2 linked regions of the Saccharomyces cerevisiae S288C genome follow. The gene in region 2 interacts genetically with the main gene of each other region. Each region holds a gene or a part of one and is shown on either strand. Other genes may lie near its edges.

Region 1 (6,968 bases), on a different chromosome or scaffold from region 2:
ATTAGTGTGGCCGTAAGCTGTCAATAAATTCTCTCTTGTTGACAGTATAATTCGTAAAATCGTTTTCATATGGGTCATCCAGTTTTATTTCTTCGTGTAACGCAGTATTTTCTGTGCTCGATGACAAGTTTGACGTAGAAGCTGATCTCAAACTACTCGTTTCTTTGCGCGATAGCGTCAGTGGATACATAAAACTATAGGAAGGATCTCTGACCATCCCATAATTCACCTTTTCGCCGCTGAAAATGACGGGGACATTGGTATATGCAGTGCTCTGCTTTTTTGGACGCAAAGTCCCCATACTAGCGTTCAATTGCCTTCTGTATGCTGGTGTGTACCCTGCCTTGGCGGTTTTTTCTTGGCAGGGTTTAAGATCCTGGTTTGCTTCCTTTTCGTTTATCGTGGAAGCTTCACTTGAGCTGTTAATTTCGGCTTTAAAACCATCATATACCGACACTGCCACTTCTTCCATTACCATCTTCTCCAAATCAGCATCTCTAATCTCTTCTTTTTTGTAACGTCGTTGTAATTTACACCAAAATATCAGGGCTATTATTACGCCCACAGCAATTGGAATCCCAACTGCCGTTCCCACTGCCACAGACACATTGCCCATCTTTATTCAATAGTCTGTTTTGATGATTGAAAAGTAGATTGTTTTGAGCTAAAAATTCGATGCTTTCTGTGCTTATTTTGAAATTTATTAATGAATCTGTCCATCTCCAAATCTTAGTTCTTAACTAGGAAATTTGTCAACACGACCACCGCCCGAAAAGGGAAAATATTTCCCTTTTGAGAAGCGATTGCGAATATTGTCCATTTCTTTATATAAGCTCCACAACTACATAAAATACTAAGTCTTCACTATATATTTTGAATATCGTTCAGCATAGCATGCGTTCTCTCTAGTAAAACGTGATCTTCATCCTTTCTCGTTTTTACATCTCCTTCATGTACGTTAATGGCTATTTCATTGAGTTTTGTACTCTTTCTTCTTCTTAGAGGTTCTGGATCCTTCTTTACTTCGCGTAATTTAGATATGAGTAGATCAACAGCATCCCTGTTTACTTTTTCACCATCGTTTTCATCACTTCCATTGCTTTTCTTATTACTGCTTGTCCTCATATCTAACAAGCTCTTCCTTTGTTCGTACACTCTTTCCATTTCCTCCTTTTCAATGTTTTCCTTGGCACATTTCTTAAACATGGCTAAAAATTCAATAAAGGGTTGGAAAAATTCGTTTTTACTCTCTTTATCTTTGGGATCTTCACCGTAATATTTCATCAGTTTATTCAAATCTATTAAAGTTAATTTACATTGACCAATCAATAATTCACTTTTTGTTTTGGCCCGATTAATCTTAAACTTGACCTTTTTAATAATTTGATCTCTGGGGTCTAAGTTCTCCTCTTTGGATAGCTTTCCTACTTGAAACTGAGTAACTAAATCCTCAATTTTTTTATGAAATTCATGACACTCTGATTCAACGTGTTCTAGTGAGATTTTACCTAAATCTTCAATGTTCTTCAAATCATCCACAAAACCGTATATATCAGGATATTTTATTCTTATGACTTTTTCAATAAAATGCAAAAATGATACATTTTGATCAATACTGGATCTGACAAAGGCAAGTTTAGTCAATGACTTCAATTTGATACCCTTAACAATTCTTTTATTCATATGATTGCCTATTTCCGTGATAATAAACATCAAACTTTTAAATTTAGGTGAACGATTTAAGTGTGAAATTGCATCATCAATTTTTTGTAACTTGAAAATCAAATCGTAATAATCTCTCTCGTATGTTGACAATGTCAGCAGACTCTTTGATCTTGCATTCCAATAAAATCTTAAATTGATACACAACTCCAAAAATATTCTGTCAGCTCTTTGTAAGTCACTTACTGCTTTACCATCCTTACCCTGTGAATATGGCTCGTACTTATTAAGCATACTTTTTGGTATATTTACTAACTCTTCTTTACAAAAAAATTTCAGTATGTTAACATTTTGGACAATGTCGTTATCACAGTTCAATACTTTCATAACAAATTCCATATCAGATAATTGGGAAAACATGTGTAAATTAATACCAAATTGCTGAGCCAAATCTCTTGATAAGAATGAAATTTTCTTCAGCTCATTGGAAGACTTGCCATTGTTTGAAGACAAGGCAATTGAGGATTCTGCGTTCCTTTTATTTGCAATCTTAGTCGGACTTTTCATCTTAAAAATATCTTCAATCTGAGAGAATATACCATCAGTTTGTAATTCTTTGATTGTTTCTTGGCGTTGAAACGTGTCTTCCCAAAGTGTGTCTTTGATATCCTCCACCTTATCCCAGTGGATTTGCTTCAATCGCTTTTCAGTTGGAGGTGGTTTTAAATCGGTTGTCGTTGGATTGATAGACACTGAGGAGGAAGAAAGAAGACCATTTGGTAAAGGTGGAGCTGGAGGAGTAACTAAATCGTGATTGGAGGGGCCTTTGTTCATCGACAAGGACTCGGGTAAAGGCGGTGGCGGTGGTGGTGGTGGAACGGCGCCACAAGTTTTAGTTTTAAATAGATCTGGAAGGGGTGGCGGTGCAGGTGCTGCAATACAGGAAACACCATCCGGTTTAGCTTCTGCTTCAGTCAAAAGAGACTGTGGAAGTGGAGGAGGGGGAGGTGGAGGAGGGGGCGGTGGAAGTTGAGGTAGTTTAACAACTTCAGGTACTAGTTGGATTCCATTATCAAGACTATCTGAGGAAAGTCGAGGGAAAAGTTTTGGTGAAGAAGAAACCGAAGACAACACGGGAGACGATTGGTAATTAGGTTGTGTTCCTAGGCTATTTGAAAATTCCAACTCTGAAAGTATCGAATTTAGAGAGACATTTTGCATATTAGTAATATTTTTCATAGAAGGGATATTAAAATTAATGGTTGACGTAGATCTTTGAAATAATGAGTCTTTTGATTTATCTTCGGATTCATTTTGGGACTCATTTTCGTTATTTGCATCAGTTAAATATGATGAAAGGGACGTAACTCTTTTACTTTTTAGTAGACTAGTTGAACGCTTGGGCAGAGAAATTTTTTGCTGCTGCTGTTGCTTTTTTGCTAAATTTTGGAAAATGATATTTCCATGACTATTATTTTTTATTATCGAGCCGGCAATACTCAAGTTGCTACTTGCCAATGAAGGTGGCTGGTCATATAACCTTTGATGCGTGGTAATTTGGTCTAGTCTTTTCTTGGTTGCCTTCAACTGCAGTTTCAGATTTTCAATTTCCTTGGTTTTCAGAGATATCAAAGATTCACTTTCATCTAGTTTTGCTATTAAATGATCTTTATCATGATTTTCTACTAAATTTAATTTTTCATTCAAATGAGAAATCTTAGCATTAAGATCATCAATTTCTGTGACCGCTCTTCTAGCAATTTCATCAGATTGTAGAGAATCCAACAATTTATTAACAGAATCTTGAAAAACATAATCCACATTTTCTGCGGACTCCAAGGTTTCATCAAAAGAAGGATTCGTTGACACTTGAAAGGAATCTATGAGATAAAACAGCAAAGAATTTATCAATTTTAATAGTTTAATAGATTCTGAGTATGGTTTTTGAGAGTCTAAGATTTTCCACAGCGATTGAATAATCTCGTTTATTGGTGCCTCTACGGGACTATCTTTTGCCTTCAATAACAGGCAATTTTCAAGACATAGAGGCTCGCTTTCTATTCTTGCGATATCTTTTGTTGGGTGAAGCGAATTCGTATCGTTGGTAGTTTTTATCATCGAGTCAAATATCGCAGATTCTTTGGATTTGAATTGTTTTATTTGTTCCATGATCACGACACTATTAGGATCATCTTTATAGGCCAGTTCTAAAAATGTGATAGTGTTATGTATATTATTCTTTTTCAAAAAATTCAAAATTTCTAGTGCAGTCTTGTTGTTGAAACCTTGCAGTATGGAGTTTATTAGCAGTAGGAAAGTTGTCGAATAGTCTATTTTTAATTGGTTCCAGTTCAAATAAAGGGATGAATGAATTGCAATATCATCCGCAAGGATTTTGTCAAACCATTCTAGCCAATCGGTGAATAATATGGAAAGCTGGTCCCATATCAACTCACAACCCGTGGAACCCTCAACATACGTTAATAATAAAAGTAACTCCATAGAAAGTAACTGACATTTCAAATTAGAATTTTGATCCGTCAGAAGCTCGGTGAACCAGCGAATTAAAGGCTCAGAATGTAGTGCTCTTATTCTCGCCAGTGGGTTGTTCATCAGTATTTTAAAGCACCGAAGATAAACAAATTGTAATTCCTTGGATATGAGTGGCAAAGTCTTTTCGATCAATGTCGTCAAGTAAATTTCATCCTTGAGAAAAAGTTGCAAAAAGCTTTGCTTTCGCAGGAATTTTTCTAGTTTATATAGAGCCTTCGATAACTTCATGCCACCTGTTGAAAGGTTTCTAACTAGGCCATCCAAAAAGTGTGCGTTTTCAGCTAGTTCATTAGTGGCCAAATGTGTAGAGTATGTCGTGCTCGAAGTCACTTTCTTTTTCCCCCAATGATTGGAACTACGGATTTTACATATCAATAACCATTTCCTTCGTAGAGAGATGTTTTGTAAATTCTTATAAGCAGCCCCCCAAAAAAAAGTTCCATCTTTTAAAAGCTCATCAAACATTCTTTCGACGAGTGATGCGTCCTGAGGCATGCACTTCGGATTAAAATCCATTTCCGATCCGTTCACTTCTTCGGAAACCATTGGTGACGAAGAAACGTCATTAGCTGAGAAATTCTTCTGTTTCATGTATATATGTGATCCTGTACCTTGTTTCTCTAACGCTACACCGACCAACTGCAAGCCAGCGGCAACCAGCCCATCGTTCAAATTCAATTCTTCCAATTTACGGGCTTCGCTGACCCTATCACGCGCGTGAAGTGACAGCGATCTGCGAGGGTAGCGGTACGTCTTCTTGTTCGGGGAAGAGTCCATCGCTGATGATTGTGCTATTTTTTTATCTGCTTTTGTGTCACGATCATCATCACTATGTAATCTTCAAAAGATCAAGAATTTGCTAGTTTTGAACCTATGCCACAAATAGCGAAAAAAGAAAAAAAACTTGACGCGTCAACATGAGGAGGGTAATGATGTGGTAGCGCCGTGTAAGGCGCTATCAAAGGGAAACGGGGATAATAGTATTAACACCGCAGCTTTTTTTTCCTTTCTCCCTCTATTGGTTTCAAATTTATTGGAGTTTTACTAGAAAGAAGAGATATAAATAGGGTATACTTTTGCATCTCAGTTCTATTGAAATCGAATGGTTATTTCTTGTGGCTCTGAGTACAGAGTGAATATAACACTACATAAAAGCAATGTCTCAAAGACTACAAAGTATCAAGGATCATTTGGTGGAGAGCGCCATGGGTAAGGGTGAATCGAAGAGGAAGAACTCGTTGCTGGAGAAAAGACCCGAAGATGTAGTTATTGTGGCTGCTAACAGGTCTGCCATCGGTAAAGGTTTTAAAGGTGCCTTCAAAGATGTAAACACAGACTACTTATTATACAACTTTCTCAATGAGTTCATCGGGAGGTTTCCGGAACCTTTGAGGGCTGATTTGAACTTAATCGAAGAAGTTGCCTGTGGAAATGTTCTCAATGTTGGAGCCGGTGCTACAGAACACAGGGCTGCATGCTTGGCAAGTGGGATTCCCTACTCGACGCCATTTGTCGCTTTAAACAGACAATGTTCTTCAGGTTTAACGGCGGTGAACGATATTGCCAACAAGATTAAGGTTGGGCAAATTGATATTGGTTTGGCGCTGGGAGTGGAATCAATGACCAATAACTACAAAAACGTCAATCCCTTGGGCATGATCTCCTCTGAAGAGCTGCAAAAAAACCGAGAAGCGAAGAAATGTCTAATACCAATGGGCATTACTAATGAGAATGTTGCCGCTAATTTCAAGATCAGTAGAAAGGATCAAGACGAGTTCGCTGCGAATTCATATCAAAAAGCTTACAAGGCGAAAAATGAGGGGCTTTTCGAAGATGAAATTTTACCTATAAAATTACCAGATGGCTCAATTTGCCAGTCGGACGAAGGGCCACGCCCTAACGTCACTGCGGAGTCGCTTTCAAGCATCAGGCCTGCCTTTATCAAAGACAGAGGAACCACAACTGCGGGCAATGCATCCCAGGTCTCCGATGGTGTGGCAGGTGTCTTGTTAGCCCGCAGGTCCGTAGCCAACCAGTTAAATCTGCCTGTGCTAGGTCGCTACATCGATTTTCAAACAGTGGGGGTTCCCCCTGAAATCATGGGTGTGGGCCCTGCATACGCCATACCAAAAGTCCTGGAAGCTACTGGCTTGCAAGTCCAAGATATCGATATTTTTGAAATAAATGAAGCATTCGCGGCCCAAGCATTATACTGCATCCATAAACTGGGCATCGATTTGAATAAAGTAAATCCAAGAGGTGGTGCAATCGCGTTAGGCCATCCCTTGGGTTGTACTGGCGCAAGGCAAGTAGCTACCATACTAAGAGAACTGAAAAAGGATCAAATCGGGGTTGTTAGTATGTGTATCGGTACTGGTATGGGTGCCGCCGCCATCTTTATTAAAGAATAGTTTTAATACTTGATAATAGTTAATATTCTCCCTTTTTATTATGCTCATATTTATATGGTTTTGTAAAAGCTATTACGTAGTTTATCAATTTGTTTATAATTTTCCATTTTCAATATTTCTAACTCACTAACCAAATAGTTTATTTGAGATAATATCCTCCAGTCCTCCTTAACCAATTGACGGGCTTTCCAGTTGAAATTCGCTATCACGGTGTCCATGTAAGAGGAAACTTCTTCATTACTTTTCATCGTTAGTTTTATTGGGGCCTTTGGATAATCCAAAGGTATGTTGAATAAAATTTTCAAAGAAATCTTACCGGAGTCTGTCATGGGGGAGATTCGA
Region 2 (6,498 bases):
GTCCTGGAAGTGAAATTGTAGGTCACCAATAGCGTTAATTGGTATATTTCTTTTTTGAGCATCAACTACGTTTATGTCAGGATTAGATGATGCTGAGTGTATGTGATGAGCAGATCTTATAAGGGTTCGTGATGCTCCTGAATCGAGAAGGAGGTGTCCAGGGAGTTCATCATCAGAATGATTAGTATGATTTACTGTAGATTCAGTAAGTTTCTGGCCTAAGATGAAGGTCGTGCTTATTGTTCAATTGAATCGGTTCAGTAGTTGATTTACTGATGGAATCGTTGTCCGTGCTGGGAGAGTTATTAGATGTGGATACATTGTGAGCCCTGGCTGTTTTCGATTTCGAATTATTTGTTTTTTGAGGATTCCGAGCTATAACTTTGGGTTTGGTTGTATTCGTATAGCTGCGAGAATCATTCTTCTCATCACTCGGATTTCTCCTGTAATTAGGTTTACTGTTTCTCGATCCCTGTTGTTCTTCATAAATAGCATGGATATCTAAGAACAGTTCAGCGACTGTCATATTTAGATGTCGATGACGTGTGTAGCGTAAAAATTTATATTCGCCAGATAGACCTCTCATAATTAATTGGCATGCGACCTTGTTATTGATATGAATGCCATTATTGTTCAGTCTGTCGATAATGTTTGTGACTTTTGTTTCAAATGCATCTGCAGGTGTACTGCCATTATATTGCAAATTTGCCAGGGTCACAATGTCGTTTGCCTCTTGGGTATCAGATTGCATTTTTTCAATACTTTTGGAAAGAATTTTCATGATATCCGTATAATCAACGGATAGGATGTCTTTGACCCAGGTAGGTAGGAATTGAGAGGGAGCAAATATTTGAAAAGTGTTATACAAGAAGGTGAGTTCATCATCAGTGATCTGACGTACGGGTTTTCCGTTTACTGTCGGAATAATACCACCGAGATTCGAGTTTTGTAAAAATTTGATGTATGTTTTAACCCAATTTGGAAAGTCATTAGGTGAGGTTAACATTGGTGGTGGTCTGACATATTTTTTAGTGGATGTCATATCAGAGTCCGCTGAGGATGAATCAGTAAATGTATTACCTGACTCAGGTGATGGAGTGCTCAGAGGCGTTCCAACTGATGATGGATACTGCGGAAACTGTGATTGTGGCCCAGGTGGAAAGTACATAGGCGACATTTGATAAGGTGTATACGGAATCATAGATGGGTGTCCGTAAAATGACCAACCAGATGGATTGGCTTGGTTTTGGGTCATCATGCACTGCTGTGGGTACGGCCCATTCTGTGGTGAATGTGACTGAGCAGTTTGAGGAGAGGCATGATGGGGGTTCTCTGGAACAGCTGATGAAGCAGGTGTTGTTGTCTGTTGAGAGTTAGCCTTAGTGGAAGCCTTCTCACATTCTTCTGTTTTGGAAGCTGAAACGTCTAACGGATCTTGATTTGTGTGGACTTCCTTAGAAGTAACCGAAGCACAGGCGCTACCATGAGAAATGGGTGAATGTTGAGATAATTGTTGGGATTCCATTGTTGATAAAGGCTATAATATTAGGTATACAGAATATACTAGAAGTTCTCCTCGAGGATATAGGAATCCTCAAAATGGAATCTATATTTCTACATACTAATATTACGATTATTCCTCATTCCGTTTTATATGTTTATATTCATTGATCCTATTACATTATCAATCCTTGCGTTTCAGCTTCCACTAATTTAGATGACTATTTCTCATCATTTGCGTCATCTTCTAACACCGTATATGATAATATACTAGTAATGTAAATACTAGTTAGTAGATGATAGTTGATTTCTATTCCAACAGGTTCTTATTTTCAACAATGTAATTGATGGCCTTAAATCTCTACTACATCATAAAGCTTCTAAGCACTTACCATTCCTTCATAAGTCTAGTATTGTAATGAGTTGGGCACATGGCGCAGTTGGTAGCGCGCTTCCCTTGCAAGGAAGAGGTCATCGGTTCGATTCCGGTTGCGTCCAAATTTTTTTGTTAATCCAACACAATTGAATTCGTGAATAGCTGACTGTCATCAGTAATGTTCGTGGAAAGTACCTATCCATACTGTTGTATCACGACTAAGTAGTTGTCGACTACTACCTCCTCAACCCCAGTTATATCCCTATGACACATTGGAGGATGCTGAATAATGACAGAATTTTATTCCTCCTTTTCATTATCATAATCTGAAGCAAAGTTAAAAAATAGAAGAAGTAAGATAAACTTTGTAGATACGATATATAGTTGTTTGTTTTAGCTATCATATATGCTGAACTGTTACTACCTTATTTTTTCCGAAATGTTTCTAAAACAAATAAATATTCATGAATATGATGCAAGTTCGTTGGATGAGAAAAAGACCAGGCTTTATTGTAAGGACAATATCATTTACGAATAATTTCATCCAATTGTTTCATCAACACATCCATTCTGTCAAAAACTGGAGCATAGAGATGTTGAACCAAAGAATTGGGCTTCGAAGCCGGATCGGACATATTGGTATTAGACAATGCCCTTGATCCGGAAAGTGAACTATTTATGCTTGCTGATGATACCGCCCTTTGTTCATCCATATAAAAATCTTCTTCAGATGATGAGTGTAACGATAAGGTTGATTGCTTTTCTTCTTCGGGGGTACTGTGATGTTTTTCTAGCTCCTCTTTAGGTTGTTCTGCGTCAGTTTGATTTGCCATTCCTCCACTAGACCCCAAGCTGGCTTGAATTTGCCCCTCTGTGTTTTCCACGTTTGTTGTCTCTTCAATTTTCGATTTTGCATGAATATATTGTGAAATGTCCTTTATTGCTCTAGATGATGGAATACTGCTGCTTTCTTCAACTATTGGAGTGGATGGTGATTCGTTTGTCCATTCTGACGACGACGGTGAAAACTCGCCAATTGTTGAAAGGGAATTTTGAGAGTCTGATTTTGCCATACCATTCGCAAATGGCATACGAGGCGCTTCAAATACTTTTTTCAGATCGGTATCGTAATCACTGTCAACCGGTTCAGACTTTTCTTGCCCCACATACCGATTTGCATTATAATCATCTTCTCTGTCTTTACTCGATGATGTCTTAGGCTCACTTTCGTTTTTGTTGTCTTGTCTCCGAACTTTTTTCACATTTAGTGGTGTATTCAAAGATGTACTAAAGGAGACGTCGCTCACTACATCGCTCGTATCATCATCCTGGAATTTGCCAAAATTTAACTTCGCTTCAGTGTATTCGTCCCGGTGCGTTACTTTTGTTTCCTTGTCGTTATCAACATCATCGTCGTACGACTGTCCATTGCCTTCACCGCCATCATCGTTACTATCTAACGAGGTATCTTCAATTGCATCATCTATAAACCTGTCTGCATAACCGACAACATCATTGAAACTAACAGATTTGTTCCCCTTACCATATCCATTCAGTGCAGGTGTCGGAATTATACTCTCTGCATCACTTTGATTCTTGTTACCAGAGCTGATGGAATCATCTTTCGAATCGGAGGAAGCAACCGATTGAGAAGACATGTTTTCATTTTTCCAGCAATTCAATCGAGCTAGTCTTTCTGGAAAGGTTTCTAGAATTTCCGCTGGCGCAAACCCGATTTTACCATCAGTGATCCTCTTAACCAGCCACCAATAGGCATCCTGGTCATTCAAAAGTATACAAGGTTCGTCTTGCCCTAATTGACAATGTGAAGAATCATGGCCATTGAACGCATATAAAGCATATAGTTTATCAGGGTCCAGTTCTCTTGGCGGCGATAAGGGTTGGTAATCGTCGTTTTCCTCCTCCAAATCGTCTTTCTCCCCTTGAAACCCTGAATCTTGAAATTTTCTGTCAAAGTCATCGTCATCAGAGTAGTTTTCCTCTTCATCCTCGTCCTCCGAGATGGCGTATTTCAAGCCATCACTAAAATCGTCAACGTCAGGGTTCATTGTATTATTCACTGAAAAATGCACCTCATCCTTATCGGCGCTATCCACGGAATCAGTTTCGATCTCTTGTAGCCTTCTTTCCAAATTGTCCTCAAATTCAGAATCCGAATAATCATATGAGTCGGGCAATTCCGAAGAATTTTCTTTGTAATGTCGCTGATCCCTTTTACTGTTGCTATGCATATGTTTTTCCACGTTCTCCTCCTCTAACTCTTTGTCATCATCTCTATTTCGCAGAACATCATGGCCCTTTTCTGCCGCATTACTCAGTATATTAAGTTTCGAATTGAAGGGCGAACTCTTATTCGAAGTCGGAGTCACCACAACACTTCCGCCCATACTCTCCGAATCCTCGTTTCCTAAAGTAAGTTTACTTCCACTTGTAGGCCTATTATTAATGATATCTGAATAATCCTCTATTAGGGTTGGATCATTCAGTAGCGCGTGCGATTGAAAGGAGTCCATGCCCGACGTCGACGTGATTAGCGAAGGCGCGTAACCATTGTCATGTCTAGCAGCTATAGAACTAACCTCCTTGACACCACTTGCGGAAGTCTCATCAACATGCTCTTCCTTATTACTCATTCTCTTACCAAGCAGAGAATGTTATCTAAAAACTACGTGTATTTCACCTCTTTCTCGACTTGAACACGTCCAACTCCTTAAGTACTACCACAGCCAGGAAAGAATGGATCCAGTTCTACACGATAGCAAAGCAGAAAACACAACCAGCGTACCCCTGTAGAAGCTTCTTTGTTTACAGCACTTGATCCATGTAGCCATACTCGAAATTTCAACTCATCTGAAACTTTTCCTGAAGGTTGAAAAAGAATGCCATAAGGGTCACCCGAAGCTTATTCACGAGTCAGTCTGACTCTTGCGAGAGATGAGGATGTAATAATACTAATCTCGAAGATGCCATCTAATACATATAGACATACATATATATATATATACATTCTATATATTCTTACCCAGATTCTTTGAGGTAAGACGGTTGGGTTTTATCTTTTGCAGTTGGTACTATTAAGAACAATCGAATCATAAGCATTGCTTACAAAGAATACACATACGAAATATTAACGATAATGTCAATTACGAAGACTGAACTGGACGGTATATTGCCATTGGTGGCCAGAGGTAAAGTTAGAGACATATATGAGGTAGACGCTGGTACGTTGCTGTTTGTTGCTACGGATCGTATCTCTGCATATGACGTTATTATGGAAAACAGCATTCCTGAAAAGGGGATCCTATTGACCAAACTGTCAGAGTTCTGGTTCAAGTTCCTGTCCAACGATGTTCGTAATCATTTGGTCGACATCGCCCCAGGTAAGACTATTTTCGATTATCTACCTGCAAAATTGAGCGAACCAAAGTACAAAACGCAACTAGAAGACCGCTCTCTATTGGTTCACAAACATAAACTAATTCCATTGGAAGTAATTGTCAGAGGCTACATCACCGGATCTGCTTGGAAAGAGTACGTAAAAACAGGTACTGTGCATGGTTTGAAACAACCTCAAGGACTTAAAGAATCTCAAGAGTTCCCAGAACCAATCTTCACCCCATCGACCAAGGCTGAACAAGGTGAACATGACGAAAACATCTCTCCTGCCCAGGCCGCTGAGCTGGTGGGTGAAGATTTGTCACGTAGAGTGGCAGAACTGGCTGTAAAACTGTACTCCAAGTGCAAAGATTATGCTAAGGAGAAGGGCATCATCATCGCAGACACTAAATTCGAATTCGGTATTGACGAAAAGACCAATGAAATTATTCTAGTGGACGAGGTGCTAACGCCAGACTCCTCTAGATTCTGGAACGGTGCCTCTTATAAGGTAGGAGAATCCCAAGATTCTTACGATAAGCAATTTTTAAGAGACTGGCTTACTGCTAATAAGTTGAACGGTGTTAACGGCGTCAAAATGCCCCAAGACATTGTCGACAGGACAAGGGCCAAATATATAGAGGCTTATGAAACATTGACAGGGTCTAAATGGTCTCACTAACGTGATTTACATATACTACAAGTCGCCAGTGTAACTCCTCACTGAATATGATTCATACATACCCGTATGTATTAATGTATAAATGTTCTCAGAGCAAATTTTATCGATATCTTGTTTGCCAGTGGTATGCAGGTTTGGCAAATTTTTTACCATAATATCCGTTTATAGATTCTGGAACCTTACCAACTTTCTTACCGCTAATTACTTCCCTGGCTCGCTCCTCCACTGCCTGGGTAAATTGTTCCTTCAACTGACTCAGTTCTCTTTCGTATTCAATAGCTTGCTTCTCGAGGATTTTTTCAATGTTTGTCAGCTCATTTTCATAGTCCAGTAACTTCCTTTCAAATCTCTCTAATTGCAACGACTTTCTTGCAGTTCGTATCTGAATATCTTGCAGTAATTCAAAAGTGGAAGGCCTGGTTCTTAAGTTCACATCTATCATTGAATGTATTATGGCATTAAGCCCTCTAGAGTAATACTCAGGGACGGTGTCACATTTCCCGTTTTTAATCTTAGTTTGTAGCTCGAGATAATTTTTTGCCTG

Evidence for each region. A genetic interaction does not mean that the proteins touch.
Region 1: of BUD14 (region 2) and BNR1, a mutation in one rescues a mutant of the other (synthetic rescue), as found in Saccharomyces cerevisiae (3 studies listed by BioGRID, with this or other methods).

The regions. Positions count from the first base shown.
Region 1 is NC_001141.2:39,849-46,816, reverse strand, and holds BNR1 (formin BNR1), read right to left. Parts: upstream 4,993-6,968; coding exon 865-4,992; downstream 1-864. Other genes in the region: AIM20 (Aim20p), read right to left, coding at 2-616; POT1 (acetyl-CoA C-acyltransferase), read left to right, coding at 5,373-6,626; SMU2 (Smu2p), read right to left, coding at 6,677-6,968. UniProt on the Saccharomyces cerevisiae protein: May organize microtubules by mediating spindle positioning and movement in the budding process. Potential target of the RHO family members.
Region 2 is NC_001133.9:164,342-170,839, forward strand, and holds BUD14 (protein phosphatase regulator BUD14), read right to left. Parts: upstream 4,531-6,498; coding exon 2,401-4,530; downstream 1-2,400. Other genes in the region: YAR010C (gag protein), read right to left, coding at 203-1,525; ADE1 (phosphoribosylaminoimidazolesuccinocarboxamide synthase), read left to right, coding at 5,034-5,954; serine/threonine protein kinase KIN3, read right to left, coding at 6,055-6,498. UniProt on the Saccharomyces cerevisiae protein: Important for bud site selection. Seems to be a regulatory subunit of the BUD14-GLC7 type-I phosphatase complex. The BUD14-GLC7 complex is necessary to regulate microtubule dynamics at the cortex and may function as a specific activator of the dynein complex.